Linked DNA regions of Sus scrofa. The protein of the gene in region 1 interacts with the protein of each later gene in a biochemical or structural test. Links are inferred from orthologs where the notes say so. Each region holds a gene or a part of one and is shown in the gene's direction. Other genes may lie near its edges. The genes, in order: DLG4, RALBP1, RPS6KA1, CRHR1, CTNND2, SEMA4C and SIPA1L1.

Evidence for each region.
Region 2: the proteins of DLG4 (region 1) and RALBP1 interact in a biophysical measurement, tested with the Homo sapiens proteins (2 studies listed by IntAct, with this or other methods). The link is inferred for Sus scrofa from reciprocal best matches to the Homo sapiens genes DLG4 and RALBP1.
Region 3: the proteins of DLG4 (region 1) and RPS6KA1 interact in a test that uses a peptide from one of them, tested with the Homo sapiens proteins (2 studies listed by BioGRID and IntAct). The link is inferred for Sus scrofa from reciprocal best matches to the Homo sapiens genes DLG4 and RPS6KA1.
Region 4: the proteins of DLG4 (region 1) and CRHR1 form a complex in vitro, tested with the Homo sapiens proteins (2 studies listed by BioGRID and IntAct, with this or other methods). The link is inferred for Sus scrofa from reciprocal best matches to the Homo sapiens genes DLG4 and CRHR1.
Region 5: the proteins of DLG4 (region 1) and CTNND2 interact in a test that uses a peptide from one of them, tested with the Homo sapiens proteins (2 studies listed by IntAct, with this or other methods). The link is inferred for Sus scrofa from reciprocal best matches to the Homo sapiens genes DLG4 and CTNND2.
Region 6: the proteins of DLG4 (region 1) and SEMA4C form a complex in vitro, tested with the Homo sapiens proteins (2 studies listed by BioGRID and IntAct, with this or other methods). The link is inferred for Sus scrofa from reciprocal best matches to the Homo sapiens genes DLG4 and SEMA4C.
Region 7: the proteins of DLG4 (region 1) and SIPA1L1 form a complex in vitro, tested with the Homo sapiens proteins (2 studies listed by BioGRID and IntAct, with this or other methods). The link is inferred for Sus scrofa from reciprocal best matches to the Homo sapiens genes DLG4 and SIPA1L1.

Annotation. Positions count from the first base shown.
Region 1 is NC_010454.4:52,563,575-52,567,691, reverse strand, and holds part of DLG4 (disks large homolog 4), read left to right. Parts: intron 1-1,236; exon of another isoform or gene 1,237-1,390; intron 1,391-1,932; coding exon 1,933-2,097; intron 2,098-4,117. UniProt on the Homo sapiens protein: Postsynaptic scaffolding protein that plays a critical role in synaptogenesis and synaptic plasticity by providing a platform for the postsynaptic clustering of crucial synaptic proteins.
Region 2 is NC_010448.4:98,595,973-98,600,654, reverse strand, and holds the start of RALBP1 (ralA-binding protein 1), read left to right. Parts: upstream 1-1,709; 5' UTR 1,710-2,626; intron 2,627-2,725; exon of another isoform or gene 2,726-2,814; intron 2,815-4,682. UniProt on the Homo sapiens protein: Multifunctional protein that functions as a downstream effector of RALA and RALB. As a GTPase-activating protein/GAP can inactivate CDC42 and RAC1 by stimulating their GTPase activity.
Region 3 is NC_010448.4:83,944,020-83,947,903, forward strand, and holds the end of RPS6KA1 (ribosomal protein S6 kinase alpha-1), read left to right. Parts: intron 1-61; coding exon 62-223; intron 224-459; coding exon 460-536; intron 537-718; coding exon 719-836; intron 837-1,713; coding exon 1,714-1,851; intron 1,852-2,214; coding exon 2,215-2,337; 3' UTR 2,338-3,170; downstream 3,171-3,884. UniProt on the Homo sapiens protein: Serine/threonine-protein kinase that acts downstream of ERK (MAPK1/ERK2 and MAPK3/ERK1) signaling and mediates mitogenic and stress-induced activation of the transcription factors CREB1, ETV1/ER81 and NR4A1/NUR77, regulates translation through RPS6 and EIF4B phosphorylation, and mediates cellular proliferation, survival, and differentiation by modulating mTOR signaling and repressing pro-apoptotic function of BAD and DAPK1.
Region 4 is NC_010454.4:17,303,081-17,307,663, reverse strand, and holds the start of CRHR1 (corticotropin-releasing factor receptor 1), read left to right. Parts: upstream 1-1,355; 5' UTR 1,356-1,658; coding exon 1,659-1,691; intron 1,692-4,583.
Region 5 is NC_010458.4:524,552-528,668, reverse strand, and holds part of CTNND2 (catenin delta-2), read left to right. Parts: intron 1-3,517; coding exon 3,518-3,649; intron 3,650-4,117. UniProt on the Homo sapiens protein: Has a critical role in neuronal development, particularly in the formation and/or maintenance of dendritic spines and synapses. Involved in the regulation of Wnt signaling.
Region 6 is NC_010445.4:56,750,252-56,754,883, forward strand, and holds the start of SEMA4C (semaphorin-4C), read left to right. Parts: upstream 1-1,407; 5' UTR 1,408-1,646; coding exon 1,647-2,065; intron 2,066-3,377; coding exon 3,378-3,526; intron 3,527-4,632.
Region 7 is NC_010449.5:95,166,269-95,169,582, forward strand, and holds the end of SIPA1L1 (signal-induced proliferation-associated 1-like protein 1), read left to right. Parts: intron 1-509; coding exon 510-653; 3' UTR 654-2,460; downstream 2,461-3,314.

The DNA of each region.
Region 1 (4,117 bases):
TGGCCCAGGATTTTTTTTTCTTTTTCTTTTTCTTTTTTCGGCTTTTTAGGGCCACACCTGCAGCATGGGGTCATGGTCGAATTGGAGCTGTGGCTGCCAGTCTATGCCACAGCCACAGCAATACTGGATCCTTAACCCACTGAATGAGGCCAGGGATCTAACCCATGTCCTTATGGATACTAGTCTGGTTCGTAACCCGCTCAGCCACAATGGGAGCTCCTAAATGGCCCAGCCTTGAGGGGGATAATTTAAGCTTCTGCTTCCCCCTAACTTCACTTCTTGCACTTGTGGTATTGAAACCTGGAGTTCTGAATTCTCTTTCTAAGTCTGTCTCCAAGTCAAGTCTCTCTCCAAGGCCAGTAAACAGAGCCTATCTTGATGAGCCCCTTGCTTGCTTTCTTTAAGGCGCTTCAAATGTATCAGGATGCTCCCGGATGCCAGCATGTCTCTGTGTCACACCGTCTAACTCATCCTCTTCTCTGACTTCATCCTAACCAAGGCCGAAGTTGGGTTACAGCCTCAGCCTTGGTTCCTCCTCCGAATTTTCAGAATCCTACCTATTGGAGGAAGCCGATCAAGGCATTGACCTTGATCGGCTTCCTCCAGTTTGATCTAGTTAACCGTTCTTCTGTGAACGTTGAGGTCTTCTCAGTGTCTAAGATACTGTGAGAGGGAACTCTTGCCTTTGCTTTTTACCCATGAGTACCGGGGCGTGTATTCTGGCTTCTGCAGTCTCTGAGGGAGCCTCCCCTCCTCCATGGAGCCTGGAGTTGGGGAGGGTTTGCTTCTGTGGGGACAGGGGCAGACCTGGGAAGACCCAGGCTGGGGTGCTGCCTGTCATTACTCTTCTACTGTTGTCTCCAGCTGCTCTCTCTCTCTCTCTCTCTCTCTCTCTCTCTCTCTCTCTCTCTCTCTCTCTCTCTCTGGCCCCGTTAATCTCATTTACGGGTGTCCCTGTTAAGCTAGGACAGGAGGCCCTTGAGATGGCAGGTGGTCACTTAGGAAGGGAGTCAGGAGTCAGATTGGGTCTCTCCCTCCAAAAAGCTGGAAGGAGACCGGGAATTCGCTCTGAGGCTCTACCGGGCTCCGCAGTCAGCAAACCTGGAAGTTGGCACCCATTCCTGCCCCCCTTCTGTGCCCTTCTGCCTCTGTTCCTCCCCCTCCCTCCCCTCTTCTTCTAGTATATCCGATTAGCTGGCGGGGCTGTGGGCATTTGGCGAGATGGGGTAGACTCCTGGGGCCCCTTCGCTGACGGCTTGGGAACCAGCGAGGCCAGTGGAGGAAGAGCTGGACGGGTTTAGCCTGAGGGGCTGAGGCCGAGAACCTGCTAGTTCAAGTGCTTGACTGCGGTTCCCGCCTGGGAGATGCTGGAGAGCCATTCACTTCCGGGGTAGAGGCGGGAGGTGGAGGCAGGGAGGGCGGGGTGGGGTGGGATGGACCGGGCGGGGGGTGAGGGGGGCACTGGACGGAGGAGGGAGTTACATATGGGAGTGGGATTAAGGTAAAGAGGACGTGGGTGAAGCTGCTGAGGGCAGCAGAGACCCTGGGGATGGAGCGAGAGAACGAGGTGGGGGGGGGCGCACGTGGCAGGGGCTGGGGCTCTGGGAAAGGGGGAAAGCAACGGACCCCAGAGGAGCGAGCGTGTGGGGTAGCAGGCCGGGGTCCGAGGCTGTGGGCTGGAGGAGTTGCGGGATGAGGCTGGGGTTTGGGAAGCAGCGGCAGGTGCCCAGGCCCGGGCGGGAGAGGGGGCTGTGGGGAGGGTGGAGAGAGGGGAGCCAATGGGCTGGAGGACAGGGAGGGGGAGGAGCTGGTCAGGCCCCGGGGCCTGGCGCACCGCACTGGCGGGGGAAGCGGAGGCGCGCTGGGGCGGGCAGCCTGGGGCCCGAGGCGCTGGGCCGGCCCCCGTGACGCCTCCGTCGTCCCCATCCCCAGAAATACCGCTACCAAGATGAAGACACGCCCCCTCTGGAGCACAGCCCGGCCCACCTCCCCAACCAGGTAAACGCCCCCGAGCTGGTGCACGTGGCGGAGAGGAACTTGTCCCACCTCGAGGCCGTCCAAGGGGTCGTGGGCCACGCCCACTTCTCCCCCCTCAAGGTAGGAGACTCAGGCGGCCCCCTCCCCAGTGCGGCCCCCGGAGCCTCGGAGCTACAACAACCCCCAAGGGCCGGTAGGGCGAGAGCCGTAGGTGGGGGGAGGCTGGGACGTTGGGGGGGGATTTGGGTTGGGCTCCTGGGGATGGGGGGAGGGGACATTTGGGGCTCTGGATACACCTGATTCCCACAGAGGAGAAACAGAGGCCAGGCAAGGGGGAGTGGGTGTAGTTTACACCCAGGGCGTGTGTGTGTGTGTGTGTGTGTGTGTGTGTGTGTCTGCGTGTACGTGTGTTGAGATGTGTGCATCCCCCAGGACCCTCCCTGGGCCCAGGCCCTCTTCATTCCTTCACACCCCCCACCTCCGTTTCCATTTTCTGTGTCCAGAGCTCTGCTCAGAGTGCCTGCTGCCCTCATTCGCTCTTGTCCCTTGGCCACCTCCTCCCCCCACATCCTGCCTCTGGGCCTGGCTCTCCAGCCCTTTCCATCTGTCTGGCCTGAGACTTCTAGTCTGGGCCCTTTCTCCCCTGCTCTGGCCTTTGCACCCCTCCTGTGCTCCCTCCCCTCCTCGCTGCCTTTCCCTCCCCACCACCGGCTGGCTGGCTGGCTGGCTGGCTGGCTGGCTGGCTGGCTGGCTGGTGCTGGATGCGGTCTCTCTGTTCCTCCCACGCACTCTCCTTCCCCCTCTCCTGGTCCCCAGCTCAGGCCCTCTGCGGCCTCATCCGTCCTCTGCCTCGGGCCAGCCGGCTCCCCCTCTCCCAGTTACCCCTTCCCTACTCCGCTTCTCTCCTCTCCTCTCTCCTGCTCTCAGGCTCGCACCTCCACTCAGATTTCTTTCTCTGCCCCCTGGGTCCCCCCCCCCCATTACTATTCATCACCACCTGTTTCCCCTTCTCTTCTGGGCTCCTTGGATGTTTTCTCTTCTCCAGGCCCGGGAGGCCTTGTTTCTGAGACCTTCCGTTCTGGACCACTTCCCATCTTCTTCCCCCTCAGTCTCCTCTTCTGGGGGCACAGGCTGGAGGGGAGGGGTGGAGTGTGCCAGGCCAGCTGTGAGATTCAGGGGAACACTGTGGGGTCCAGAGTGAGATTACGGGATCTTGTGGGGTGCCCTGGGAGGTGGGAAGTTGTTGACATGTCACCAAGAAGATGGGGCGGAGGTTTTTCTGAGCCTGGGATGAGGAGGCAGGGAGGGGGCAGCAGGAGGTTCTGGGGTGAGAAGGAGAAGAATTGGAGAGGGAGGGAAAGACCATTTTTTGGCACTTAGCAAAGAGGAGGGATGACAGAGGGTCAGGCGTCCTGCGCCAGGAGACAGGGATGGGATGGTGAAATCAGGGCAGAAGGTTCAGCTGGCTGAGAGGAAGGAAAGGAAGGCCCTGGAGATGGGGAGATGGTGCAGAGTATTCCCGTAAAACTCTGGGGGCTGCCTGGAGTGAAGGGAAGACTAGAGATGCTGTATTCCCAAGATGGGGCATTAAGTCCCTGGGGAAGGGGGAGAGGAGAGAGGGTGGTAGTCAGGACAGCGCGAAGGAGAGGTGGAATCTGGGCCCAGGAGACAGAGGAAGTGGAGGGAGAGCCTGCTGGAGGTCATACGTGTGGGAGGGCTAAGGCCTGAGCTGGGGGGCCGGGAGGAGCCTCAATTTTCAGAGGGTAGGGAAAGTGGGTTGAAGAAGTGTGATTTGGGCACACAGAATCTTGAGGGTTTGAGGATGAGGTCAGGGAGCCAGAAATTAGGATGGAGGCCAAGAGCAGGAGACTGATAAAGGAAGGGGCCGGAGGGGAGGGTGAGGACAGGGAAGGCCATGGGGAATGGAGGCTGGGGTTGGAAGATGGAAATTGAAAGGTGGGGCAGAGCTGTAGATGGAGGATATCACACAGGGCAGGGGCAGGGAGGGGGAGGGGACACGGCTGGAAGTAGTTGCGGATGAAGGACGCGGCCTGGGGAAGGAAGTTCTAGGATCAGGATGGGGATGGCGACTGGGGATAGGCTGTGGGGTAGAGGATGGGCCTGAGGATGAGATTTTGGC
Region 2 (4,682 bases), on another chromosome or scaffold:
CTGCTGAGCCACAACGGGAACTCCAACACAGGAAATTTATGGCTCACAATTCTAACGTCTATAGGATCATCTACAGGACAGGTCAAACAGGTGAGATGGGATAGTGCAGCTCTAATGTGCAGCAACACAAGGGTCTCCCAGCGCACGTTTGACAGTACTGACTTCATCATCAGGCTGTACTGGTGCCTCTCCAATAAACCCTATCCCTCCAGGCTTTCCTCTTTAGGAGCAAAACAGCTGCCACAGTTGCAGACCGCATAAACTTTCACCATACCAGAAGAGCAAGAATGCTGCAGTTTACTAGAAGCTCCAACCCAAGTCTCAGTGGATCTCGTCGGCTCTGACTGAGTTAGGTGACCATCTCTGAAAGCCTCCACCACCAAAAGGAAGAATTATGCTGTGTGGCTTAAATGGGAGGAATAAATTGCAGGAGGCAACCAACAAATATGTTCCATAACCACACAAATTAGCCCTAAATAATAATAAATAAATAGCTGCATTGGCTCTCTCGGCTAGGTTCACATACTCAAAGCACTTTAGAAAGAGGTATGCTAGCCATGCCCTCTGAAACTGAAACACAGTCTCCATGCGGTCAGCTGTTTGTTTCCTCCCTCCTCCACTAGCACTCCAAGTCTCCTTTTGGCTTCATTCATTGCTGCTGCACAAAGGCCTCTTTTTGTTGTGAAGAAGGTGGCGGTCAGCTGTTGCTACAGTAAGATGCAATCTTCCCTCCCTTTTTTGTGTTCATATAACAATTTCCAGCAAGGGGTCAATAATGCCCAACTTGGATCAGTCCTATCCCTTGGCCCAGTCGGTGCTGCCAAAGGCAGAGTATTCTAACTGGCTTGGTTAACGTGCCGATCGATCCCAGTGGTGAGGACACTGTGCTGTTGCCAGTGAGGCAATAAGAAAATTTTAAAGCTGTCAAAACAATGGCAAGCACAGACCAACTTGGTATTTTATTTTTATTTTTATTTTTCCTTTTTCAGATAAAAGTTTTCATGGGTCCTGGAGATTCATGTATCTCCAGACTTAAACAGAAGCTTTTATTTTATTTATTTATTTATTTTTGTCTTTTTGCTATTTCTTGGGCCGCTCCTGCTGGCATATGGAGATTCCCAGGCTAGGGGTCCAATCAGAGCTGTAGCCACCGGCCTACACCAGAGCCACAGGAACCGGAATCCCAGCCGCGTCTGCAGCTCAGCAGCTCACGGCAACGTCGGATCGTTAACCCACTGAGCAAGGGCAGGGACCGAACCCGCAACCTTATGGTTCCTAGTCGGATTTGTTAACCACTGCGCCACGACGGGAACTCCCAACTTGGTATTTTAATTGTGGGCTCTTCTTGAAGGTCAGACAAGGTGGCTGCACTTTATTGAGAAGGAAATGTAAAGTACGAGGGAGACCTACTGTTAGCCTTGAGTAAAGAGCAAGGCAAGATGGATTAGAGAGGTCAATCTAAACATGGAATGAAGTTCAGAGGAGCATCGCAGGTGGGAATGTGAGGATCGGGAAGCGCCATCTATTCCGGTTTTATCATTCCTCTAATAAACCGCCACACTTTATGAAACAGTAACAGTTAAAGGCCCCTGGTTTCCAGCCATGCATTAGCACAATTCTTCCAGCTTTTGTGAAGGCGTTCTGGAGGAAGTACGGTTATTTTGGTCTTCTTCTAGATTCAATGCTTTTGGTTGGCAAGCTAACCGTGCGATGGGCAGTTCTAATTAAGGAGCTCCTCGGGAAACGCCGAGCCAGAGAAGGCGGTGGGAACTGGGACCCCGTTGCACCGCAAGACCCGAGGGTTTGCCTTCTGGACACTAATTTCAGGGATGCCGAGGTCAGTCCCGGCACGGAGTCTACACAAGTTTCTCCGCGGAGGCCACGGCGCTCCCTGTGCCGCAACCCGCAGCCAAAGTCCCCACGGAAGCCGAAGCCTCTGCGCCCAATCGGGGCGGGGGGAGGCCCCACCCAAGAGCGGGCCGAGCCGGCCTCCGGGCCGGTTTAACTGGTTACGGCTGAAACCCGCCGGCGGGAAGGTCTGAGCTTCCGCAGCTAAGAAACACGTTGCCCTCCTCCAGTCCGCGGCCAGCACCGCCCCAGCGATCCTCGCAGACCTCGCTTGGGCAAGGTGCGCGTCGCCCGCCACCACCAGGAACTGCGCAGGCGCCAGCGGACTCGAGCCCGGCGCGTCCTCTCGCGCGCTCCCAGCTCTCCCCAGCGGGCGCCGGGACCGGGCAGGCGTGGTGCTTCCTGGGTGTTGTAGTGCGCTTCCTGGCGGAGGACTGCCTACAGCCTCGGCTATGGGTTTCCGTGGACTACCGCTCCCAGCGTGCTCCACGCTGGGGGCATAGGGCGCCGGCCCTCGACGGCTCCGGCCTTCAGCGCCGAGCTGGGGACCCGGGAAGCCGGCTGCGGCGGGGAAGGAGTGCGCGTGCGCGCTGGCCCGGCTCGTCCGGTTCTGTCCCAATCATTGTAAACAGGCGGAGGCTGGGGCGGGGTGGGAATGGGGTGCCAGAGGCCGGCCCAGGGCTTAGCGAAGGAGGTGGTTGCGGCGGCGGCGGCGGCGGCGTGAGAGTCGGGAAGCGGCGGCTGCGGCAGGGCAGGCGCTCACCCGGCGCGGGCGCAGGTCAGTGGCGAACGGTGGGTGGGCGGGGGTCGCGGCGTATGTCAGCCTGGAGCGGGGCCAGGCTCCTGGCCGGCGCGGCGGGGGCGGGGGCGTGGCTGCCCTAGCGGGCTGGACCCGGCGGGTTCCTCCGCGTTTCGCCCCCACTGCCGGTCTCTCCCGCTCTTCAGCTGGCCTATCGGGACTCCGCGGTGTGTCCGGGCTCTTGGGTCTAGGGGAGGAGGGTGGGTTTGGGGCTCTGCCTCAGGCAGCCACTGAGCGCGGGGATGGAGCTTGGGGACTCGGCCCTTTACGTAACCGCAGCGGAACTGTGACCGGCCTCTAGTGCTGCCAGGTGGGCGGGGAGGGGCTCGCGGTCTTCCACCGCCAGCGCGGGAGCGGCAGAGCTCCGGGGCTTCCGCGGGACCGATCCGAGGGGAAAATTCTTTTCACAACCTTGTCTATTAGGTTTGTGCTTAAAGGCTTTATTGAGGTCAGCATACCCCCCACCCCCCACGCTTGGTCGTTGTGAGAGTGAAACAGGTTTTACAAAATTCCCGCACCTCTGCTTTACCTGAAGTCATTATGCTGCTTCAGGTTCTGGGATTCATGACCCAGAGCCTTCCTCTTGAGCAAGCAACATGTCTCGGGCCTGGTGGAGTTCTGGAAGGTGATTAAAATACTAATTCGAGGGATTTTGAACATTCTTTTGAAAGAAGCACAGTCATTTGGACACTGAGTTAACACACCGACTCGCCCCATTAGCAGAGCTTTCGCCGATTTTTTTTTTATTGAGCGGAGCGTGCATGTCCCAGGGTTGCGGCCCTTGGGTGACATTCTGTCCCACTGGGCAGTTATTCACGGAATATTCAAGAAGTCATAAGGGACAGGCCCACTTGTGGTTTGGTGGTCCTGGAGGCAGCAGTACTTCTAAAAGAATAAGTGGACCTCTGAATGAGAAAGGTGACTTCACTTTTTGCCTTTCCAGTTTTCTAGATGATTAATTAATTCCTTTCTGAGTATTTTCCTGAGAATGCGTAATTGCTGTAAACTGAATTGGTGAGTAGTCGAGGTAGGAAGTTAGTAGAAGGGTTCCCACTTTTCATAGTAGCCCGTTTGACAGTAACTGTTGAGAAGTAATTCTTTAAACAAAGTATCTTGAAGCAAGGTGACATAATTTATGATCTTTTCTTCAAAATAGCATTTCTCATTTTACATCCTCCAGGGACCACTTCTCTTTTAATTTAGAAAAATATAAGTGGTATTAGAAAGTGCATATTAACTTTGATTTATACAGTTGTTTGCTTGGCAAGGAAAGATTGGGCCCAGAATGTCACCCCAAAGTATGTTCTTTCTTGAAAGGAAATCTGGGATAGAAACTTTTGTTAATATATGGGAAATTGCAGATCACTTAGTGTAGAGGAATTTTTGTGTAGCAGGTACTGTGAAGATGGCTTAGAGATAGATAAGGTACTGTCCCTGCTTTCTGTGTGATAAGACTTTATCTCTTATTTGAACTGTCTGCAAGTCCAATGTGTTTTTAAGATCATTTTCACTGGAGAAAGGATGGGCCACAGTGGGTGTACAAAGGAGGTAGTGGTCATTTTATTTTTAAGGGAGGAGAAGGAAAGATTGAGAAAGGGGGCACTAGGAAGAAAAAGTGTATATTGGAGGGGATGAAAACGGTAGGTGTACAGGCACAGAAAGCATGGGCATTTAGGTAGGAGAAACTGCAGGAGTCTCAACTTCCGTGAATCGTAGGGTCTGCAGGTATAGATAGCAAGGGTACAGGGTGGTGGCAAGATCTGAAACTGGGAACTTAGGCAGAGACCAAATTAGGAGTAGTCTGTAGATAAGCAAAGTAATTTATCTTGAAGCAAACAGGAGTTGTTGAGACAGGATGGAGAGGCCTTAGCCAGCTCAATCCGTTTTAACTTCTTGCTGTGTGGTAGCCATTGTATTAGGAACTTGATGTCCTTAAACTTAAAGAAGGTTTAGGCATGACTGAGACAGAGATCACTGGAAAGGAAATTCAGGCCAAGGAAAAGTTGGACCTGATGAGAGCAAGCCTGCACCCTTA
Region 3 (3,884 bases), on another chromosome or scaffold:
GGCAGTTGCCCTGGGCTGCTGGCAGCCTGCCAACATTGAGAATTGACCCTTCTGCCCCCAGGTTGTGCACAGGGACCTCAAGCCCAGCAACATCCTGTATGTTGACGAGTCTGGAAACCCTGAGTGCCTGCGTATCTGTGACTTTGGCTTTGCCAAGCAGCTGCGGGCTGAGAATGGGCTTCTCATGACACCTTGCTATACTGCCAACTTCGTGGCACCTGAGGTGAGTGGCCCAGCCCCCTCAGCTGCAAGAGCAAGGGGGCCTGGTACAGGAGGCCAGGGTCCCCTCCAGAGGCCCCATACCATCCAGGACTCTAGTCTCTGTGGCCTTGGCCCAGGTAGAATCAGCCCATGCCTGGGACCCTTGTCCTACCCTTTGGGGAGCAGCAAGCAAGCATATGGGGCCACTCGCCGCTGCCACTCGGACTGACGGCCCTCCCCTCTCTTCCTAACTGCCAGGTACTGAAGCGCCAGGGCTATGACGAGGGCTGCGACATCTGGAGCCTGGGCATCCTGCTCTACACCATGCTGGCGGGGTGAGCCTGGACCCCCTCCACCCCCTGCCCCTTCCTCCAGCCCTAGTGTGCAGGCTGGCAGGGCGCCTGTCTCAGGGAAGGCACCCAGCCCTGCCTTTGGGAGCACCCAGTCTGAAGTGGGAGACACAGTCCCCAGGGTGGAGGCCAGAGGCTAGACTCAGGTCGGGTGGACTTTTCTCCAGATATACTCCATTTGCCAACGGACCCAGTGACACACCGGAGGAAATCCTGACCCGGATCGGCAGTGGGAAGTTCACCCTCAGCGGGGGAAATTGGAACACGGTTTCGGATGCAGCCAAGGTGAGTGTGTGATGCCTGCAGCCTGCTCACTTAGGGGGTGGGGAGGCAGGGTCCCGTCCCAGGGCTTGCCAGCGTTTTCCTGAGCAGGTGACTCGCAGCTTCATTTCTCCAGGTGGAATGTCCCACAAATTTCTGTTGCTCTATTTTTCCAAGTGGAAGATTCCCAGGCAGGCTGCCCCCTACCTTGTTTGGACAATGTGGTGATCATTCACTGGCCCTTCCGGTGTTCTGGGCCTTAGAGGAGGGAACATCTTTGGTTTTTTGGAGTTGGGGTTTTTTTCTTTTTTCCTTTCTTTTGTTTTTTTGCTTTTTGGGGCCACACCTGCAGCATATGGAAATTCTCAGGCTAGGGGTCCAATTGGAGCTGCAGCTGCCGGCCTACACTACAGCCACAGCAAGGTGGGATCCGAGCTGCATCTGTGACCTGCGCCACAGCTCAGCAATGCCGGATCCTTAACCCACTGAGCAAGGCCAGGGATTGAACCCGTGTCCTCATGGATACTAAACGAGTTTGTAACCCACTGAGCCATCACAGGAACCCCAGGGAACATCCGAACTTTCAGTATTAGCATCAGGTTCCAGTGGTGGGAAGCTGTGTGTCAGACACGGGGCCGAGTCCTTGATGAATAGCGCCACCTCAGGTTAACCTTATGAGTCAGGTGTTTCTGTTATCCTGTTTCTCAGAGGGGAAATGGAGGCTCAGAGAGTTGAACTAACTTGCCTGGGAAATGCAGTTGATGAGCAGAAGAGTCAGATCTTGGGTTCAGGCAGGAGACGGCAGGAGATGTTTCCTGAGCCGTCGCCCCATCAGCCAGACGCAGCTGCCTGCTCCCCTGCCAACCCCTCCCGCCAATGCCCTCGTCTGCTCCTCCCTCAGGACCTAGTGTCCAAGATGCTGCACGTGGACCCCCACCAACGCCTCACAGCTAAGCAGGTCCTGCAGCACCCATGGATCACGCAGAAAGACAAGCTTCCCCAGAGCCAGCTGTCCCACCAGGACTTGCAGCTTGTAAAGGTACAGCCACCCCAGGTTGCCGGGCATCTCAGGGCCCGGGCCAGGGCCCATGGGCAAGGACTTGGGGTGGGAGAGCCGGGCAATGCCATGTCCGTCTGTCCTCAGGGAGCCCCTGTCAGGGCTGTCAGCAGTGCACGCACAGCCCCTCAGTCCTCTGGGGGGCACAGCCCCTCGCCCTCTGAAACCTCCAGTCCGATGGAGGAGGCAGGACTGATGACTCTGAAGAACCACCAAGGCTGGATTAACAGGGGACAGAGTGGGCTGTGGAACACTGAGAGAGGCTGGCCTGGCCCCCGGCGCACGTGTCCCCGTCCCACCTGTGTCGCCCACCATGGTGAACTGACATCCCACCTTCCCTCCCAGGGCGCCATGGCAGCTACATACTCTGCGCTCAACAGCTCCAAGCCCACCCCTCAGCTGAAGCCCATTGAGTCATCTATCCTGGCCCAGCGGCGGGTGAGGAAGCTGCCATCCACCACCCTGTGAGGGGCCAGAGCATCAGGCGCCGGGCGGTGCTAGCTCGATGGAGGCAGCATACTTCCCAGAGGGAGCAGGCCTGAGTCACAGGGCCAAAGGGAGCGGAGCCCGAGGGGCCCAGGAAGCAGCCAGCCCCGATCACCCCAGTGAGGGTGTGAGAAGTGCCTTCTCCTTCCCCAGGATGGACTCTTCTCAGCTCAGGCTCTGCTGCTGGTTGAAATCAATCCACTGTACAGACTCATCTTTTTTTAAGGAAAAATGGCATCAACCACCATGGATTTTTACAGAATCCACTTGACTTTTCTGGGAGCAGAAGTAGCCAGTGCGGCCCCAGGAGGGGAACTGAGTCACACTATGGCTCTCTGTGGCTGAGACTCCTTACAGCAGCTTTGGGGTCACCCCAAGGGGTTCCCCACGATTGGCTGTCTGTAGCCAGCTGTGCCCACCTCCGAGGCAGCCAGCATCACCTTCCAGAGCCGCTGGCTGTTTCGCAGAACTTGCTCTGTCCCCAACAGCTCCTTTTCTGTTCTGTTCTGTTCCGGGGTCTGGAACCACTTTCTGCTAGAGGAGAGGACCAAGGCCCCGTGGCTCCCAGCTCCAGGCACCAGCATCCACCCGGGCCCCTCCAGTGGGTCCCCTGCAATCAGGTTGGGCAGCCCCTGGAGGAGCATCCGGAAAGCACTTTTTGGCTGACTTCTGCTGGAGTCTGCCACAGGACAGAGTTCACAGGAGGCCTGTGGGGCGGGCCCAGAGAGGCAGGGGCTTTTTTCATTTCTTCCTCAGCTGGTAACTCAGGGCTTATCTGTCCATGGCCTTTCTAATAAAATTACAGTTGAGTTGAAGCATGTTCGCCTCTGCTTTTCACCCCTGGGTTTGTCCTCCCTCTGTTGCTGGGTGTTGAGGACTTTGGCAGTGACAAGTAGTCGGCCAGGGCCAATTAGCCCAGCTGCTTGGAGCTCTGTTGGGGAGCATGTGGGAGTCCCGCTGGCTCTGCCCACACATTCCTGCAAGGTCTTGATAACAGTAATGAGATTATTACCCACCGGTGACCAAGTGCCAGGCACAGTGAAGTAGATGCTTTATGATTATGATTTTATTTATTTTTGGCCACACCCACACCAAGTGGAAGTTTGGGGCCAGGGCTTGAGCCCACGCCATAGCTGCAATCTCAGCCACGGCAGTGACAATGCCGAATCCTTAACCCACTGTGCCACCAGGGAAGTCCCAATTTATATATTTTAAAAGATCAATCTGACGAATGTGTAGCGAACTGATGGGGGGAGAGGGCAGGCAGGAAGCAGGTGACCAGGTTGGTGGCTACAGAAGAGATAAGGTTGCCTGGCCCAGGGTGGTGGGAGTGGAGATGGGGAGGAAGTAGACAAGGTCGGGAAGGGTTCTGGAGGTGATGTTAGATAGCACCTGCTGTCACTTTGGATGTAGAGGCTAAGAGACAGAGGAGATTCATGGATAGCTTCTAGATTTTTTTTGTCTTTTTGTCTTTTTTTGTCTTTTCTAGGGCCGCTCCTGGGGCATATGGAGGTTCCCAAGCTAGGGGT
Region 4 (4,583 bases), about 35 Mb from region 1:
TCAGGAGGTTTATCAGCTCTGTCACTTTGGATTGGGCACCACCTCTCAGCGTGCCTCAGTTTCTTCACAAGACTCCCCGTCTAAGTGAAGTTAACAGCTGGACACATGAACACACTGGCTTTTGCTCAATGTGCTGAGAAGTGGCTGGAGGAGAGGAAGCGGTGGGCAAGGCAGTGAGGTTCAGAGTTTAATTGCAAAGCTGGCTGACTACCATTCTGGAAGCTTCTCTGGAGCGGCTGCCATTGGCATGGCAAGCCCAGGCTCTGTGGAGTAGTCATTTCTCTACCTTCCTTTTCAGCTTCGGCGGGAGGAAGGAAAAGATGGAAGATGTCAAAAGTTCTGTACAACTGGAGGGGCTGGGGGGGAACGTTTAAGGGGTTTGGCAGAGGCGAGAACTGCTTCCCAGAGCTGGGGGCGGGTGGGAGAGCTAAGCCGCCAAGCTGGCTGAAGACTGGGAGTTCTAGCAGGGAGGCTACCCCTACCCTGAGAGCTCGGCCGAGAGGGGGCGCTGTGGCCTCTCCCCGCCCAGCGGGTAGGATTCTTTGCTCTTTCCCCTCAGCAGCGCAGTGCGCGCTCGATTTTCCCCTCAGTGGCGTTCAGATGCTGGCTAGTGCGTCAGGGCACCGCCATCTCCCCTGTCTTGGGGTTCCCAGGTGAAGCCCCTTGCCGAAACCAAACTGGGCAGGCTCTAAGTCTGTAGATTGAATGAACAGATAAGCGAACGAAAGAATGAAAAAGAATGAATGAATGAGAAGGATTCCTCCCTCAGAGCTTTCGCTCCTCAGCGCGCCCCTGGCGTGTCCGTGCCAAAGGCGCGAGGGGTCTAGCCCGACAACCCAGCCCTGCTGAGGCAGGGGCGGCGGGGACCTTCTCCGGGCCGGCTGCTTGGGCGGGAATTGTCCAAACGCAGTTCCCAGCCTCACCCGGTCTCCGCGGCGGCTCCGCTCTGTTCGGGCTGCCCTATTCCCTGTCCTCCGATAACCTCGCTCTTAAGAGATTCACCCGAGCCTCCCAAGTCCCCCTGGACGCCCTTGGACTCCCCAGGCCCCAACCTGAAGTCGGGCAGGAGACGGGAGGTTGCCTCCTTTCCCGCCTCCCCCCGCCCCTCAGCCTCTCCCCGGGCTGCGGCGGCCACCAGCGCTGCCAGCGCGCCCAGCCGACTGCCGCAAACCCGGGCGCTGGGGGAAGAGGGTCAGCTCCGCGAGGGCGCGGGGAGGCGGCCCGGGGAAGGGGAGGGGACTGGGGAGGCGAGGAGGCGGAGGGAGCAGAGGGGCGAGGTGCGGAGGAGGGACCGGAGGGGAGGGGAGGGGAAGCCAAGGGAGGGGTGGGGACGCCCAGGCGAGGGGGTGGGGAGCCGAGACGAGTAGCGGCGCGGACCGAGGGGGAGGCGGCGGGGGCGAGGCAGCCTCCCGGCGAGCAGGAGGCGGCTGCCGGCCAGGCTGAGTCAGGAAGCGGCGGCCGGACTTGCCTGGGAAGGGGAGAGCGAGAGCCCGCCGGACTGGGCTGCGGGCCCGCGGAGCCGGGCACCTCTGCGACCTGCAGCGACACAGGAGTCCGGCCGCCCAACCCGCGCAGCCCGAGCCCGCACCCGCCAGCCGGCCCCTCTGGGATGTCCGGGGAACCCAGGCATCCAGGACGGCGGTAGAGCGAGCCCGAGGATGGGACGGCGCCCGCAGCTCCGGCTCGTCAAGGTAAGAGCGAGCTGGTCAGCCTTCGAGCGCAAGCAGCTCTGGGGGCGCGGGGCTCGGTGGGTTGTGGGTGTGATGCGAGGGCTTGGGTGTCACTGAGAAGAACTGTGTCCAGGGGCGGCCGGCGTTTGAGGGGCAGCCCAACTCCCTCTTCCAGGACCTTTGGAGGGGGCGGTGGGCGGTGGGAGGAGAACTCAGGTGCAAAAAGAAATTGTGGCGAAGCTGACGGGCCGTAGGCGTTGCGGGAGGCGGGGGGACGCCCACCCGGGTAACCAGCTCTGTGCCGGGAATCGCTCTAGGCGTTGGGAACCGACCCACCCTTCCTGTGTAGACCAGGGTTCCGGGACGAGAGGCTCTGGAGAGGGGTTTCCCACCCGCCCCAGCACCCTCTCTTCAACTCCCCCACTCTGCACGCCCTCCCCCCCCGCCCTGTCCCTGGGAGCTCTTTCCCGCCCCTGCAAGTCCGGGGAGATAAATGCCCCCCGCGCCGGAGAGCCCTGGATCGCAATCTCCGGGGAGCAGACCGTGCATCCGGCGGTAGTTACCGTTCCGCCGCCGCCGCCGCCGCCGGCCCGCCCGCCGGAGCACCACGCTCGCTCTTCCAGCCTTTGCACGCGCGGGTCCCCGCGCCTGCTCCCTCCTGCCCGAGCTCTGGCGACGCGATTCTGGCGCCCGGAGTTTAGGAAAGTCGCCAGACCGCACATCCAGCGTCTGTCCGCTGAAGTTCGGGGGCGGCCGGGGCTGCCCGCGGGCCCAGGGAAAGGCTAGGGGGTCGACAGCTCGGCCCGCCGCTAGTGCCAGCCGCTACTTCCCCATGACAAGCGATTCCCAAAGCGGTTCCGCTTACGAGGTGTAGGCTCGAAGCAGCAGCCAGAGCGAGGGGTAGGTGGGCCTCGGCGCTGCCGCGGGGGAGTCCAGCGCGGCCCTAGCCTGAGGATCCGGACACCGCTGGGTCAGTGTGGACGGCCTGTGGAAAAACAGACACCAGCTTGACTGGATTCAGTGCATTTAAGAATTGAATGGATTTGGTAGAGGGGCGCGGATTGACTGAATTTCATTTTTTCCTATCAGTTATTAAACCAGCTGAACGTATATCAGCATACAAAGTGGTTTGAGGTAAACCATCAAGATTTTAAAATGCAACTGCTGCCAGGTCATCAGTTGACACGTTACCAGTTACTAAGGCTTTCTCCATCCTCTTCCTCCCTCTCTAGAATATTTATAAGTTGATTTTTAAAAATGCCTGGGGATTGGTCTAATTGAACCCATATCCTGGCCCTACCCATTAACTGAGGACTGGGGATGAACCCAGAGATTATTTTCTGGGTGATCAAGGAGACCAAGGAAGGGAGGGAGGAATAAAAACATCTAGAGAATAGATGGCATTGAATGGTAAAATTTTCCAAAAGGCTAGTGTGTACTGAAACTTGGCCTAAATCTGCAAATCAATTAGACCCAATTCAACCTTTTAAAATAATTCAAAAGATTGAACTTTTTTGTTTTTGAGTTTACATGGTAATTGGTAAATGTTCTTTCTCTGACCTTTCTTCGAATCACATGCAAATCTCTGCTTAAAATTATGATGCTTTACTAAAAGAAAATTTTTTTTCTGTTATTGTATGTGTTTTCCCTACTAAGTGGTAAGGTGTGTTTCTTTAAGTCTCGCCTAATGAATTCAGTAGGTGCTCAATAAATACATACCATGGTGAATGAGAGGCAGCTAATGCTGATTTCAATGAAATAATTACCTTTTTCCTTTTATTTATGTAGCATATATAACTTTCTCAGCATTGTTCTACCTGCTTTGCAAATATTAAGTCATTTAGTCCTCATAAGAACCCTGGGAAGTAGGAATTATTATTGAGGCACAGAGAGGCTAAGTACCTGGTTCAAGGTCATACAGCCAGTGAGTGGTGGAGCCAGAATTCAAACCCAGGCACTGTGGCTCTAAGGCTTTTTTTGTTAGCTTTTACCATAAAATATTCTAAGCTGCTTAAATCTCATCCTAGACTTGTACCAGATGAGAGAAAGCATGGGTGGTTTTGTCAGAATGCAAGTCTGAATCTAGGTGGGATTCATCCAAAATCTGACTATGTCCTCCACAAGTATGGGGAAAAGATCCACTCTGGGGCCCTTAGTGTAGGCCTCTCACTGTACTGGTTACAGAGAATTGGGGAAGAGTGTGTGGGTGACTGGGAGATTTGTGTGTGTGTTTGTGTGAATGAGGGAGAGATGGTATGCGTGTGTGTGTGCCTGTCTGTGTGGACACCGAGGATACTGGTGAAATGCTGTCTGGGTCACCTGCCCACCAGCCACAGCTCCTCACAGGGAGACACAAGTGTGGCTCACAATGGCAGGTTTGGGTGAGTGTGAGGTGTGGAGGCAGGGGGCTATGAATGGAGAGTGAGTTCTGCGGAGAGAGCTGGTTTTATTGTTATTGTCATGAAAGCAATCTAGTAGTATTAGACAAAGTTTGAAAACCAGAGGGGGAAATTATTACAATCTCACCCTCCTAAAACAGCTGTTGTTATCATTTTGAAAATAATCCCGGCAGGCCTTTTTTCAAGTGCAGGTGTGGACATTGGGAATGCCTTCCCATTACTGTCACAGCCCAAGTCTGTCCTATGTTATTCTTGAGCCTCCAGAGAGAGGTTGTCAACATCTCTGTTCCCTGTGAGGGGATATTCTTTGCCATGCCTATATCCATGCACGTTTGGGCCATTCCAAATTACTTCTTTGACAAATAATACAGAGCTAGGAGTTCCCATTGTGGCTCAGTAGGTTAAGAACCCTGCTACTATCCATAAGCATTCGTGTTTGATCCCTGGTCTCACTCAGTGGGTTAAAGATCCGGCGTTACTGCAAGCTGCATCAGATGTCACAGATGTGGCTTGG
Region 5 (4,117 bases), on another chromosome or scaffold:
ACTATATGAATGCACACACACACACACACACACACACACACACACACACACCTATATTTTATTTAAGAAAAAAATGTTTTCTTAAGATGAATTTCTCCCTGCCCTTTGCTCCCCTCTTCAGGCTGAGAAAACAATAATTTCTGGAACTACATTGCCAAGGCCACGGTACAGAGCACTCCCCAGCAGGGTGGCCTCTCTGTCCTTGAGACTGTTTGTCATAAACGTTTACACCACACTTTCCTGTCAGAACGATGGGGAAAGTCAGAAATGAATGGGAAATTTGACTGAAATACATTGCCCTCCCCCAGCTCCCATGAAAGCTTACATTTTTAGTGTGGCATCATTGCTTGTGACATCTAGCCCTACACTGAAAGAGAACTAGAACCCCCTCCCTGTGTAACTCCAGAAACTTCCACCTACCTCAAAAGCCTGGAGGTGGCCTTTTATACGTCTTATCTCCGTAATTCTTTTTAAAAATTTTTTATTATAGTGTAGTTGATTTACAATGTTGTGCCAATTTATGCTGTACAGCAAAGTGACTCAGTCATACATATATATACACACACAGACACATTCTTTTTTCATGTACTATTTTCCATGATGGTCTGTCCCAGGAGACTGGATATGGTTCCCTGTGCTGGACAGTAGGACCTCACTGCTTATCCATTCTAAATGTAACAGTTTGCATCTGCTAACCTCAAACTCCCGGTCCATCCCACTCCCTTCCCCTTCCCCCATGGCAACCACACATCTGTTCTCTGTGTCCATAATTCTTGAACAGATAAAGAGTAGCAAGTTTGGAATGCGCAAGGATGGTGGCTTTTTAAAATCTCTAATTGTGAAAAAGTAATCAGTGTTAGGAACATGGAAATAGAATAGATTGAAAGGCTCCCAGAATGGGAAGCAGCACCGGTTCCGGATGTCAGCGTCCCAGCCGTGCAGCCAGGCCCTGCCTGGTGGTCCCCAGGCGGGGCACATCCAAGACATCTAACAAACACTCATTGGCGTGATTTGATTTTTCCAGGAGTGTCATCCTGGTTTACTGGAGCCTCGGACCACTGTGTGAGAGGTCTCAGGAGATAATTACACACTTGATGTGGTTAATAAACCCCACCATCTGTGCCATATTAGATTCCACTTTTAAAAGCTTTGATCAAGAGGCTCCAAAATGTCATCTCTTCGTGATTGCCTGGCAGTGACTCATAAAAGGCCAGCCTTTAGGCGCAAGACCTGGGAGCGGAGGAGCAAGGGAAGGCGGGGATTGTCCCAGGAGAGGAGGATAGAGAGAGGAGGGCAGAGACAGAGACGGAGGGGGCGAGCGAGACGCAGCAGCGGCTGTTCTGGGAAGGTGCAGGAACTGAACCCAGAACCCAGTTGAGTTACGCGGAATAGTTGTGGTTTCCTCCATCTCTTCCCATTGGATTTATACCCTGGTCCATGAGGGTTTCAAGTATCACTATATTTGCAAGTATTCCAGGTAATTGATTCTGATGGGCAGCCAGGATTGGAATGGAAGCCTCTGAGGGTTTCAAGAATAGAGCAGTGAGCCCCGATTTTACTTGACAGGTCTGAGAGGTGGGCAGGGGGCCCTTCAGGAAAGGATGGGCAGAGGCCCCCTCTGTTATCTTATCAGCACTTGGCAGTGACTTCTGCAGGGTGGTCTGTAAGTCACAAGCTCTTCAAGTTTAGAAAGTGTGCTGTGACTTGTGCGTTTGCTCCCGGTGTCTGACACGGGGCTCTGCACGTGGATGATACTAAGTCTGCTGTGATGAATCAAGTGACTCAGACAGGGGATATGCAGGCCAAGGGGCTGGAGCTAGGGACCCTACAGAGGGTGTGAATAGCCAGCTGACAGGTAAACTGAGGCTTGACTGGCAAGGGGCTTGGACATTAGTGAAGGAAAGAGAGCTTTATCCCAACATCACAGTTCCCCAGAGATACCCTGGCCTTAATAATCACCAAGTATGCGCACTAAATACAGATTTCTAGGTCTATCCACTGAAAATTGTGATTCCAAAGGTCTGGGTTGGTGTTTTAGAATCCCCAAGTTTTCAGGCGAGTCCCAAGTTTATGAAGCAGTGCCCTCGGGCTTGGAAGCCGGGGAGAGCTCTGGAGCAGAAGAGCACTGTGCCTGAGCTGGATGCATTTGACTAAGTTTGGGATGTGGGTGGCCTCATCGAGGAGCACGGAGACCAGTAAAGGCCAGCCTGTGGGATGGGCACATGATGGCTGCCTCAGTGCAGGCATACACACCTAACTCAGCTTCTCCCAACACATCCTGCACTGGCAGGGCTGCTTAGTTGCCCCCCATCCATCCTTATTTTCAAAAAACAAAACCTCTTTTTGTTTGCACCCCTAAGTCCAAGTTCAGCTATTCCTTTGTTCTGGGACCAGCGTGTTAAAGAATAGTGGAATTTCCAGGGGATTCCTCTAACTACAACCCAGCATTTTAGAAATGAAGACACAAAGGGTTGACAGGGCTCAGTCCCCAGGTCTGACAGGCAGCAAGTGGCCAGCGTGCGAGGTGTGCATGAGAGGTTGTTGGGAACATCTGAGATGGAACAGGGATGCCCCTCACGAGAGAAACCTCTCCCTGTGCCATGCCTCCAACCCAGCCCGAGGCACGATGGGGAAACCTTGGTGGGTGGGGATGTGTTGGCCCTGCAAATTATCCTCTATGGACAGGTGCTTCCTCTGCCTTCCTTTAGGGCAATTCTGCATGACTTAGTGGTTAAGTAGTAAAACTGAGTCTGTTTTGTTGTTGTTGTTGTTGTTGTTGTTTGTTTTGTCTTTTTTGCCATTTCTAGGGCCGCTCCCGTGGCATATGGAGATTCCCAGGCTAGGGGTCTAATGGGAGCTGTAGCTGCCAGCCTACACCAGAGCCACAGCAACGAGGGATCCTAACCGCATCTGAAACCTACACCACAGCTCACGGCAAAGCCAGATCGTTAACCCACTGAGCAAGGGCAGGGATTGAACCCGCAACCTCATGGTTCCTAGTCGGATTCACTAACCACCGAGCCACAACAGGAACTCCAAATTGAGTCTGTTTTAATCAGAGATTTTGCTCTATCAGTAAAAGCTCCTCTGAAACACACCTGATTGTTTAAAAAGAAGGAAGAAGAAAGGAAGGGAGGGAGGAAAAGGTAAGAAAAAGAGAAGACAAAGAAAAAGAAACCAAAATGGATCTCATTCTTAAGACTGTCCTTACACCTTGAGCAGGTCAATTCCCCGTGAAGATGTCTTTCTAGAGAAGAAGGACCCAAGAATTAACCCTTAATTCCCTGCCTCCAAGTCGTGTGTCCCCTTAACTATAAATCACCAAGTGACATGGAGTCAGGGAAGGGAAGGGGGCGAAGACAGGGACCCAAAGAACAACAGCAACAACAAAAATGACAGGTGCACATATGCAGACTGACCTATGTTGAGCCCATACACTTTTTACTTTGCATATTGAAAAGCTGTGCATGCTGTGCAGTAAGATGCAGAAACTCATCCTTTCAATTTCTTTATGTAGCAAGTGCCCCAGCTTCACCTCGGGAAATGATCAGCCTCAAAGAAAGGAAAACAGACTACGAGTCCACTGGCAGCAATGCCACCTATCATGGAACTAAAGGAGAACACACGTCCCGAAAGGACACCATGACAGGTGAGCTCCACTGAGTGCAGTTCTCCCTCGGAGCCAGTGACATGAGGGGACAGGGTGGAGGGCTGGGACATCTGGCCGTGCTTGTGGCTTGGCAAGATTGAGCAGCCAGCAAGTCCTGGAGACCTTGGCAGATTCCCAGGGATTGGCAATGAGGAGATTAGGCCAGAAGTATAACGATGGAGCATCTGGGAGTTCCCATTATGACTCAGTGGTAATGAACCCAACTAGTATCCATGAAGATGTGGGTTCTATCCCTGGCCTCACTCAGTGTGTTAAGGATCTGGCATTGCTGTGAGCTGTATGTCACAGATGCGGCTCAGATCCCATGTTGCTGTGACTGTGGCATAGGCCGGCAGTTGCTGCTCCAATTTGACCCCTAGCCTGGGAACCTCCATATGCTATGGTGTGGCCCTAAAAAGACAACAACAACAAAAACAAAAACAAAAAAGATGGAGCATCTGGAGCTCC
Region 6 (4,632 bases), on another chromosome or scaffold:
GGGATCTTTATGTATACTAGCAAAGACCCAATTGTTACTGAATCCAAACTGGGCTGCTTTCCCCAATTATCTCCACTGGTCTTCTGGCCTCCACTTTTCAGATGCCAAGTTTTAACCCAGAACAAAAGCCCCTGTCCAGGACTGATTTATAATCCAAATCTGCTGACGGGGCCCTAAAGTGTCCCTCCCCTACAGGACTGCACAGGGCTTAATGTTACCAGGAAGCTTTTCTGCCTCCAGTCTCTTCACTTCTGCCCTTTGGCCCTAGACAGGAGGTGGCATCTGTCTTTGGGTCCCCATGAGGTGGCCTCCCTGGGGTTCCTCTGTCCACTTGTCCAGCTTGGAGGACCAGCTGGCAAAGACACCCTAGCACCACCCAGGAGACCAGAGCTACAAGTTACTTCTAGGAGCGGCTGTGGGCGGAGGCTGGCGGTTCTGAGAGTGGTAGTTCTCCAGCTGGCTCCCCTCAACCCCTTTCATCTGAACATCAGGGTTCATGTCACTTGTTATTCAGCCTTCCAGTGGCACCAGAGGAGTCATTTCCTGAGGGTAGGCTCTGTGCAACAGGAGCCGGGGTTTATCCTTGCCGGAGTCAGGCAAGGGGCGCTGAGTGGGACCCTTTGCCTGGAGCGTGAGAAACAACAGGCAGAAGCTCGAGGGAGGCTCGGGGGTCTTCCTGGCTGGTGAGGCCCGATCCAGTCTGATCCCAGGGGTCAGGCGTCAAGCCAAGAAACGATGCAGAATTGGGGGTCCAAATAAGACCACTCTGGGCCGCCCCGAAGAGAAGCCTCGGATACACGCCTCGAGGTGGCTCGCCTGCCTTCGTTCCTGTAACCATAGCGTAGGGAGCGCCTTAGCCCCATTCCCGATCCAGGTCGCCCAGCCCGAGCGGTTGGCCTTAGGGGACACTTCGGAAAGACCGGGTAAGTCCGATTCCCCTTGCCAGGGCCCGGAGTCCCTCCTCTGTCCCACCTCCCCGCGCGGTGGCGCAGATCATGACTACAAGGCGCTGGGCCGCAGGGCACCGGGAGGGGCGGGGGTCCGAGCCACCGGACGGGGAGCGGCGAGGCGTGCGGGTCGCGGCGGGTCACAGCCCCCCTCGGGGCGGGCCTTCGCGTCCCGCCCCCGGCCTCCGCCGACCCCCCCCACCCTGTTTGACGTCAGGGGGAGGGGACGGAGAGCGGCGGCAGCCGGGGAGAAAGAGCCGGCGCCCGCCGCGGTGGCGCGGGGAGCCCGAGCCCAGGGGCGCCGAGCCGAGCCGGGCCGAGGGGCGGTGGCAGCCGGGCAGCGGAGCAGGGCGGGCGGGCGCGCGCGGGCGGGCGGCGGCGCGCGGGCAGGGGCGGACCGTGGTCGGAGCCGAACGCGAGGGCGGCGCCCAGGGATTCCAGCCGCGAAGAAGAGGTGAGTGAGGCCGGGGTTGCCCGGGGCCGGGGCTAAGGGGCTCCGGCCCGCTGCTTTGTCCGCCGACTCGGGAGGGGGCGGCCTGCACGCGCGAGGGACAGGGTCTGGGGGCGCAGGGAGGGGCGGCGGCAGGGACAACTGTCCGCCCGAGTGCCTTCTTACGCCCCCCGCGGGCTGCCTCGCGGGGGCTCGTAAGCGGGGCAAGCTATTCCCTTCGCTACAGGGTCCGGAAGCGCGGACTGGTCATGGGGAGCGGGGGTCCCCCGTGCTGTCCGGTCCGAGGCCGGGATCTTCTCCAGGTCCCCGAACTGCCCCCGGCTTTGCCACCTCCGACGGAAAGTTTGGGGCGGGCTTGGACGGAGGCCGATGTTGTGGGATCGGATTTCCCTGCCGCGGCCCCCCAGCCTCCCGCCCGCTCCGCTCCGCTGGGGAGGCGGGCTGTCCTGGAAAGGCTGGAGCGCTCGCCTTGCAGCCGCGGGGGTGCCATCCACGGCCCGCCGCTCGGGGTGGGCAAGGGTCGGGGGCGCGAGGCCGGGATCCTGCACCCCTCCACCCCCGCACCGCAAGGCTGCCCGTTTCCCCCGCTCTGGGAGGAGCTGGGAGCAGGGGCACCACTGTGCGAGCAGAGCATCGGAGTGCGCCGCGGGGTCCGATTCGGGCCTGGGTAAGGGGCCGAGGGAGGGCTGGGGGTGTGTTGGGGGACTGGTTCAGGGGGTGAACGCATCCCAGGTCGCCCGCCCTTCCCGCGCTGGGGTACTGGGCCGACAGGGGGCGTCCATAGCCCGGGCACCGCCACGCTCCCAGCGCCGCCGCTTTGTTTGCATTCAAATCCCCGGAGCTGGGGGAGGGGAGAACGGGGTGAGGGGCGACCGGGGACCGAGTCTTGGCGGGGACCTTTTGTTTTTGGGTGAGCACATCCGTAGCTTCAGTGTCTCTGTGGCCAGCATTGCAGGGCTGGAGCAGTGGAAATTAATCCAGATGGCCTGCCCTGGCTGGGGTCCGGGGGGCGCAATCCCTGAGTTGGGAAGGTTCATCAGACGACGGGTAGCACAGCAGGCGCGCCGGCCCTACTCGAGGAGCCTCCCGCGGTCCGGGAGGAACCCCCGTGGCCCTATCCACCCGGTCTTCACCGCCCCCCCCCCGCCCCCGCCTGAAAGCGCCGCCGGGAGATCCCTGATGAGACCAGAGCTGGCTCTGTTGTCCCGTCGCCCCTCAGCCTGAGGGCTGGTGTCTTCTATCTAGGAGGCAGTGCGAGGAACAGGATGAGGCCCCGGTCATTTCCACGCCCATCCCACCCACTTCCTGCCTCCCTTCGTGGGCAACAAAGGGGCCTTGGGAAGCGGGGCCCCACCAGCTCCAGGCCCCACTTCAGCCCTGTGATGTGGAAAGGGGCTGGGGGCTCTGCCTGGCCATTGTCTGCGCTGGGGGAGGGGAGGGACTGGCGCCTGGACCCCCGCTTGCCCGAGGCACCGAGTCCTCCCTGGAGGGCCTTTCCCACCACCACCCCACTACACACTCATCCCCCTGCTAAGGGGTTTGTGCCTCAGAATAGGTCTTGGGGCTGGCTGGAGCCCGTGTAGGTACTGCTTCCAGAGGTTATTTTAAGAAATCCTTACAATCTGTCAGGCCTGGGTGGGGGAAGGGGGGGGTCCCCTTTTTATTTTCTTAAACAACTTCCTGTGGAGGAGTGGGGGAGGGCTAGGAGGCCGGCCTTTCTCCGGTGTCCACTCTTCCAGCTGACTCAGCTCACCCGTTCTCCTCAGGGAGACCCCATGGTCCTTTGAAGGCTGTGGTGGCTGAACCCAGGTGTGGGCGTGGGCTGGGTCTGTGCTCCAAGCTCTGGGGCAATGGAGGAGGAAGTCCTGGAGAGGCCTGATCAGATCTTCGGTCCAGTCAGTGCCTCCTGGCATGGCTTGTGTGGGCCCCCTTCGGTCTGTTTTCTCTGGCTGTGATTCTGACCCTTTCTTTTCCCCCAGCAGGGCAGCTGGCCTGGAGCTTAGAGGTGGGGCGTGTGCCATGGCCCCGCACTGGGCTTTCTGGCTGCTGGCAGTGGGGCTGTGGGGCCTGGGCATTGAGGCTGAGGTGTGGTGGAACCTGGTGCCCCGGAAGACGGTCTCTTCTGGGGGTGAGTGCCTGGAGGGTGGCACGCGGGGGGCCAGGAGGGACTGCAGGGGGAAGGGTGTGCTAAGGAATTGTTCTCTAGAATGTGTCAGATTTATTCTGCAGTTGGACTCAAGGCCTACTGATGTATGTGACACAGCTTTCTAAGAAATGAGAGAGGTGTCAGGGACCCAGAACTGGGAATCCAGGCCAGGCCCTGGGGTACCTCTCCTGACACTTAAGCTGCCCCTGTTATGCGAGAGAGAGCGCCCATCTTGCATCGCTCTCCCTGTGCCTCACTTCTAAAAGCATCACTAGCACTGAGAGCCAGGATAGGTATGAAACAGAGGGTGTCCCCCCACCCCCATCCTGCCCTCCGCACCAAAGTCTTTCTAACTCTCTGCCCCCAGGAGCCCTCTTAGCAACCCTGATAGATCTGCTCTGCTACTCTGACACTCAGGCTGTCTGGCGGCCCTGGATGCGCACACACCTGTATGCAGAGGTGATGTCAGGTGTTTGTATCATCCATGCACTCTGGGGACCTGGATGAGCTCACCTCCCACAGGCTCCTCTTGGTGCTAACGAAGCCCTCCCTGGCCAGCCTATGTCTGGCCCCATTGCTGGCTCTAAAGACTAAGGCTGGTTTAGGGGGACCCTGAGGACAGGTCGCTGGCTACTTGGGGGACTGACGTGGGAATCCGGTGAATGTTGCGATGTCCTGGTGCCCTGCATGGTGGGTGGCAGCAGGGCTTCCCAGCCCCGAGGGCCTCTGGTCCCCACCTCTGCTTTCCCCTGGCCTCCCAGCCTGATTCCATCTCCTGCCATCCCTCCTGGTCCATGGCTAGCTCTGCTTGGATCTCTAGCAGCCTGGATTTGGGTCTCACTAGAGGAAAAGATTTCCTAAGATAAGGAGCACCTACAGCTTCTGTCCGTTCTGTCCTGCTGGATTAGGGGCCAGTGCCTAGCTGGCCCTTAAGGAGGGCCTCGGGCAGCAGAGCAAAGAAGGAAGCAGCAGCTGAGGAGGCCAGGGTGAGGGTGGGGGTGCCCAGCTCTGCAGCCGGAGGTGCTGCTGACCCTGAGGGTGAGAGCCACCAGCCTAATGGCTTCCTCTGGCCGGAAGCGGTGGCTGAG
Region 7 (3,314 bases), on another chromosome or scaffold:
GTTCCCACTGCCACACAGTGCAAGAAGGCCTTCATTGTCCCGTGTACAGAAAAAGCATTCCCCTCTTTTCTGAGTACCTTCAAACCTCAGCCAGCCCACTCGGAGGCCTCTCCCCGCCTCCTCATCCCTGGGCCATGACCCAGCCCCACCTGTCCTTACTGTTATTTGGGCTTTTGCACAAGAGAATTTTTCTGTTAAGACAGCAGCCACCAGACCGTCATCTCCATGTAAGACAGCCCTTACCCCTTCTAATTTAACAAAGACATTAAACTACACAGTCCTGTATTTACAGTCCAAAATAAACCTCTAGTGGATCTCTCTAGCAGTCTTGTGCCCTGGGAGAGAGCATCTGAACGCCCAGTGCCAGCCACGGAGACAGCAGCGGCTGTTTAGTGGAAAGAAGGGGAAGTGGGCGAGGGGTGCACACGGATTCACAGCCACTCCCTCCAGCTGCTGGGCTGGGCTGGGCCACTCTCTTAAGTTCCTTTCCGCTCTGCCCACTCTTCCAGGAAAAAGAAGACAAAGCCCACCTCCAGGCGGAAGTTCAGCATCTGCGGGAGGACAACCTGAGGCTGCAGGAAGAGTCCCAGAATGCCTCCGACAAGCTCAAGAAGTTCACCGAGTGGGTCTTCAACACCATAGACATGAGCTAGGCCAGGAGGGGGGCCACCCGCCAGCGGAGGCCTCCTCAGCCCTCCCTCCCCAGCTCCCGACTCGCCCCCTTTCGGGGAGTGCACACCACGACAATTGCAGATCAACAATCATTATCTGCCTTTTGTAGAAAAGAGAAAGAAAATGGTAAATAAAAATTTTAAAAAGTAAAATAAAAGTTTAACTGCTAAAATGTGAATGTCTATTTTTTTGCACAATATCTTTATCTGTTATGTATTTAAAAAGAAACTGGGCCCAGGGCCAGGGCCTCCCCCTGGCCCATCTCCCTCTTTCCATCAGCTCTTTCTTATTTCAGGTACCCCGAGCTTTCCCTTGTTATTCTGACAAATGTCATTGTTCCTAGGAAAATAAAGTTTTCAACTGTTTATTTGGGGAGGGGGATTTCCTTACCTTCATTCCTACAATGCCTGGGGAGGGAGGTGCTTTTAGAAAATGCCTACCTCCCTTGAATGGCCTGTGCATGAGCCAGTGATGTTTGTCCCTGTCTCACAGAGATCAGCAGGATGGGTTACTTAAGGGTAGCAAATGAGTGAACCAGAGAGCAGCAGAGCTAGAGCCTGCAAGCCAAGCCGCGCCCCTTTTCCATCCTGCATTGTGACAGCACGACTTCCTCCTTCCTTCCTGGGGAGATGGTCCAGGGCTCTGTGCTCCTCGGCAATGGAGCCTTTTTACCTGGCTTAAGTAAGTCCCTCTAAATTGGAGTCAGCCTTTCTGTGTCTTCCTGCTTCCCAAAAGTAATCAGTTTCAGAATTCCTCCAACTTTTGACCAAAATGCATACAAATCATAGGTTTATTTTTTTGGAGATTTTTAAAGATAACCATGTGGCAAAATAGTATTTGTAGCGCTCTCAAAATGATTGTATTAATACATCCTTCTCTCCAAAGCAAGGCTTTACCAGTATTTGTAACTAGGAAAAGCAAACGTTAAATTGTAAACTTTAATATTTCCTTGTTCGGAGCAATGACTGTGATAGCAGAATGGGCTTTTGAGACCTGCATGTCCCAGTGTACAATTTCAGCCCAGCATTTTCTGCATCCTCGTGTGGCCGTCCACAGGATTCTGTGGCAGAAGTGACTGATGTGCTGTTTTTCTATCTAGTGATGCAGCTGCTTTGGGCCCCTGGCCATTGTTCTAAAGCTCTCAGTCCTGACAGCACAAGAGACACTAGGTCACCAGTGTTGAGAGACCCCAGGGGAGGCCCCGGTGGCCTTGTTTCTTGCCTTCACAATGGTCATTCAGTGACTACCTGTGCCCCTTTCAGTGGCAACTCTGGTCTAAGGGAACATTCAGCCGTCTAGCGGCCTCTGCTCGGACGTTCCCTGCTCCGAGTAATCTCAGCCCATTCCTCTCTCCATCCCTGAAAGAAAAGGGACGGCTGGCCCTCTCTTCTCCCCCACCTGCATCACCAGGCTTTTACGCTACAGCATCAGTCATGATTGTGGTTTAACCGTGGGATTTTTTTTTCTGGTGACATTTCTACCAGGGAAATGGGAAGATTTCCGAGTGCTTTGTGACGATCTCAATTGTCTGTCTCTTTCTCTGACTTGTATGAAGGAGATTGTACATTGCCTGATAGCTCTTTGTAAATGAGAACTAGCGCTAACATCCAAGCATTCTGAAGTCTTGCTTGTCCTTCTGAGTTTAGGTTTTATTTTTGTTTTACATTTTGTTTGGGGACTTGGGGCAAGCTATTTATTAGAGTTTTGCAACAGAGTTCTTGTTCAAAGCCTTTGAGGACTACTTGTAAAATTCAAACAATAAAATTCATTTTAAACGCTCTTTTAAAACGCTTTCGTATTCTTGCTTCAGCTTTTCTTATTTGAAAGACTACCCAGGAACTCATGGACTCTCCTGCTATCCCTGTTTTTCCATTGGATGCCTTAACACCCAAGATGATTCCTACAAGGTTATGCCTTTTAGACTTTTAATAAGCTTTCTCACTCTCTGGTCACATGTCCATAGAGAGTTCCTAATTTGCCTTCTCTGCTTATGATTTAATATTTGCAGAGCACTGTAGAATTAGTTCCCTCTTCATTATCCGTGTGTGGATCATCCTGAGACCAGCACATTTTTGGACTTCGCTACTGCCTCTCCCATCTCTCAGTGTTAGATGTCGTATGCCTAGGGCATACCAATGGCTGTTAATATTAGGGTGTGCAAAATATAATTAGAAAAGTTAATCTACTGAAAAAAGTCACAATGCATTCCAAAGCCAAATGGAACCAAATTTTTGAAATCTACCACGTCACTGTTCCTCTCCAGTGGTGCAGCTAATTGAGAGCTGCCAGTTGAGTTTCTTCCTTTTCTCTAGTTCAACAGTTTCTACAGATTTGAGAATTACAAGACAGTGTATGACCGAGTGCCGCAAGATGCTCTGATTAGCAAGCTAAGCAAGTCTGTACACCATGATTCTTACCTGGTCTAGAGGGTTTTTACATTATTTCTGAAGGGCTTGGATGTGGGTTGGGTGTTCCTGGGAGAAGATGCCACTGAGCTACATTGATGGAGGGTCTTCGGCCTCGAGCTGACTGGAGGGGCTGATTGGTTGTGCTCCAAGTCTGCTGCAGGGGAGAAACAGATTGGGTTGGGTTGGATACTAATTCCAGATGGATAGAAACAGTACAAGGGCAAAGGCAATAGG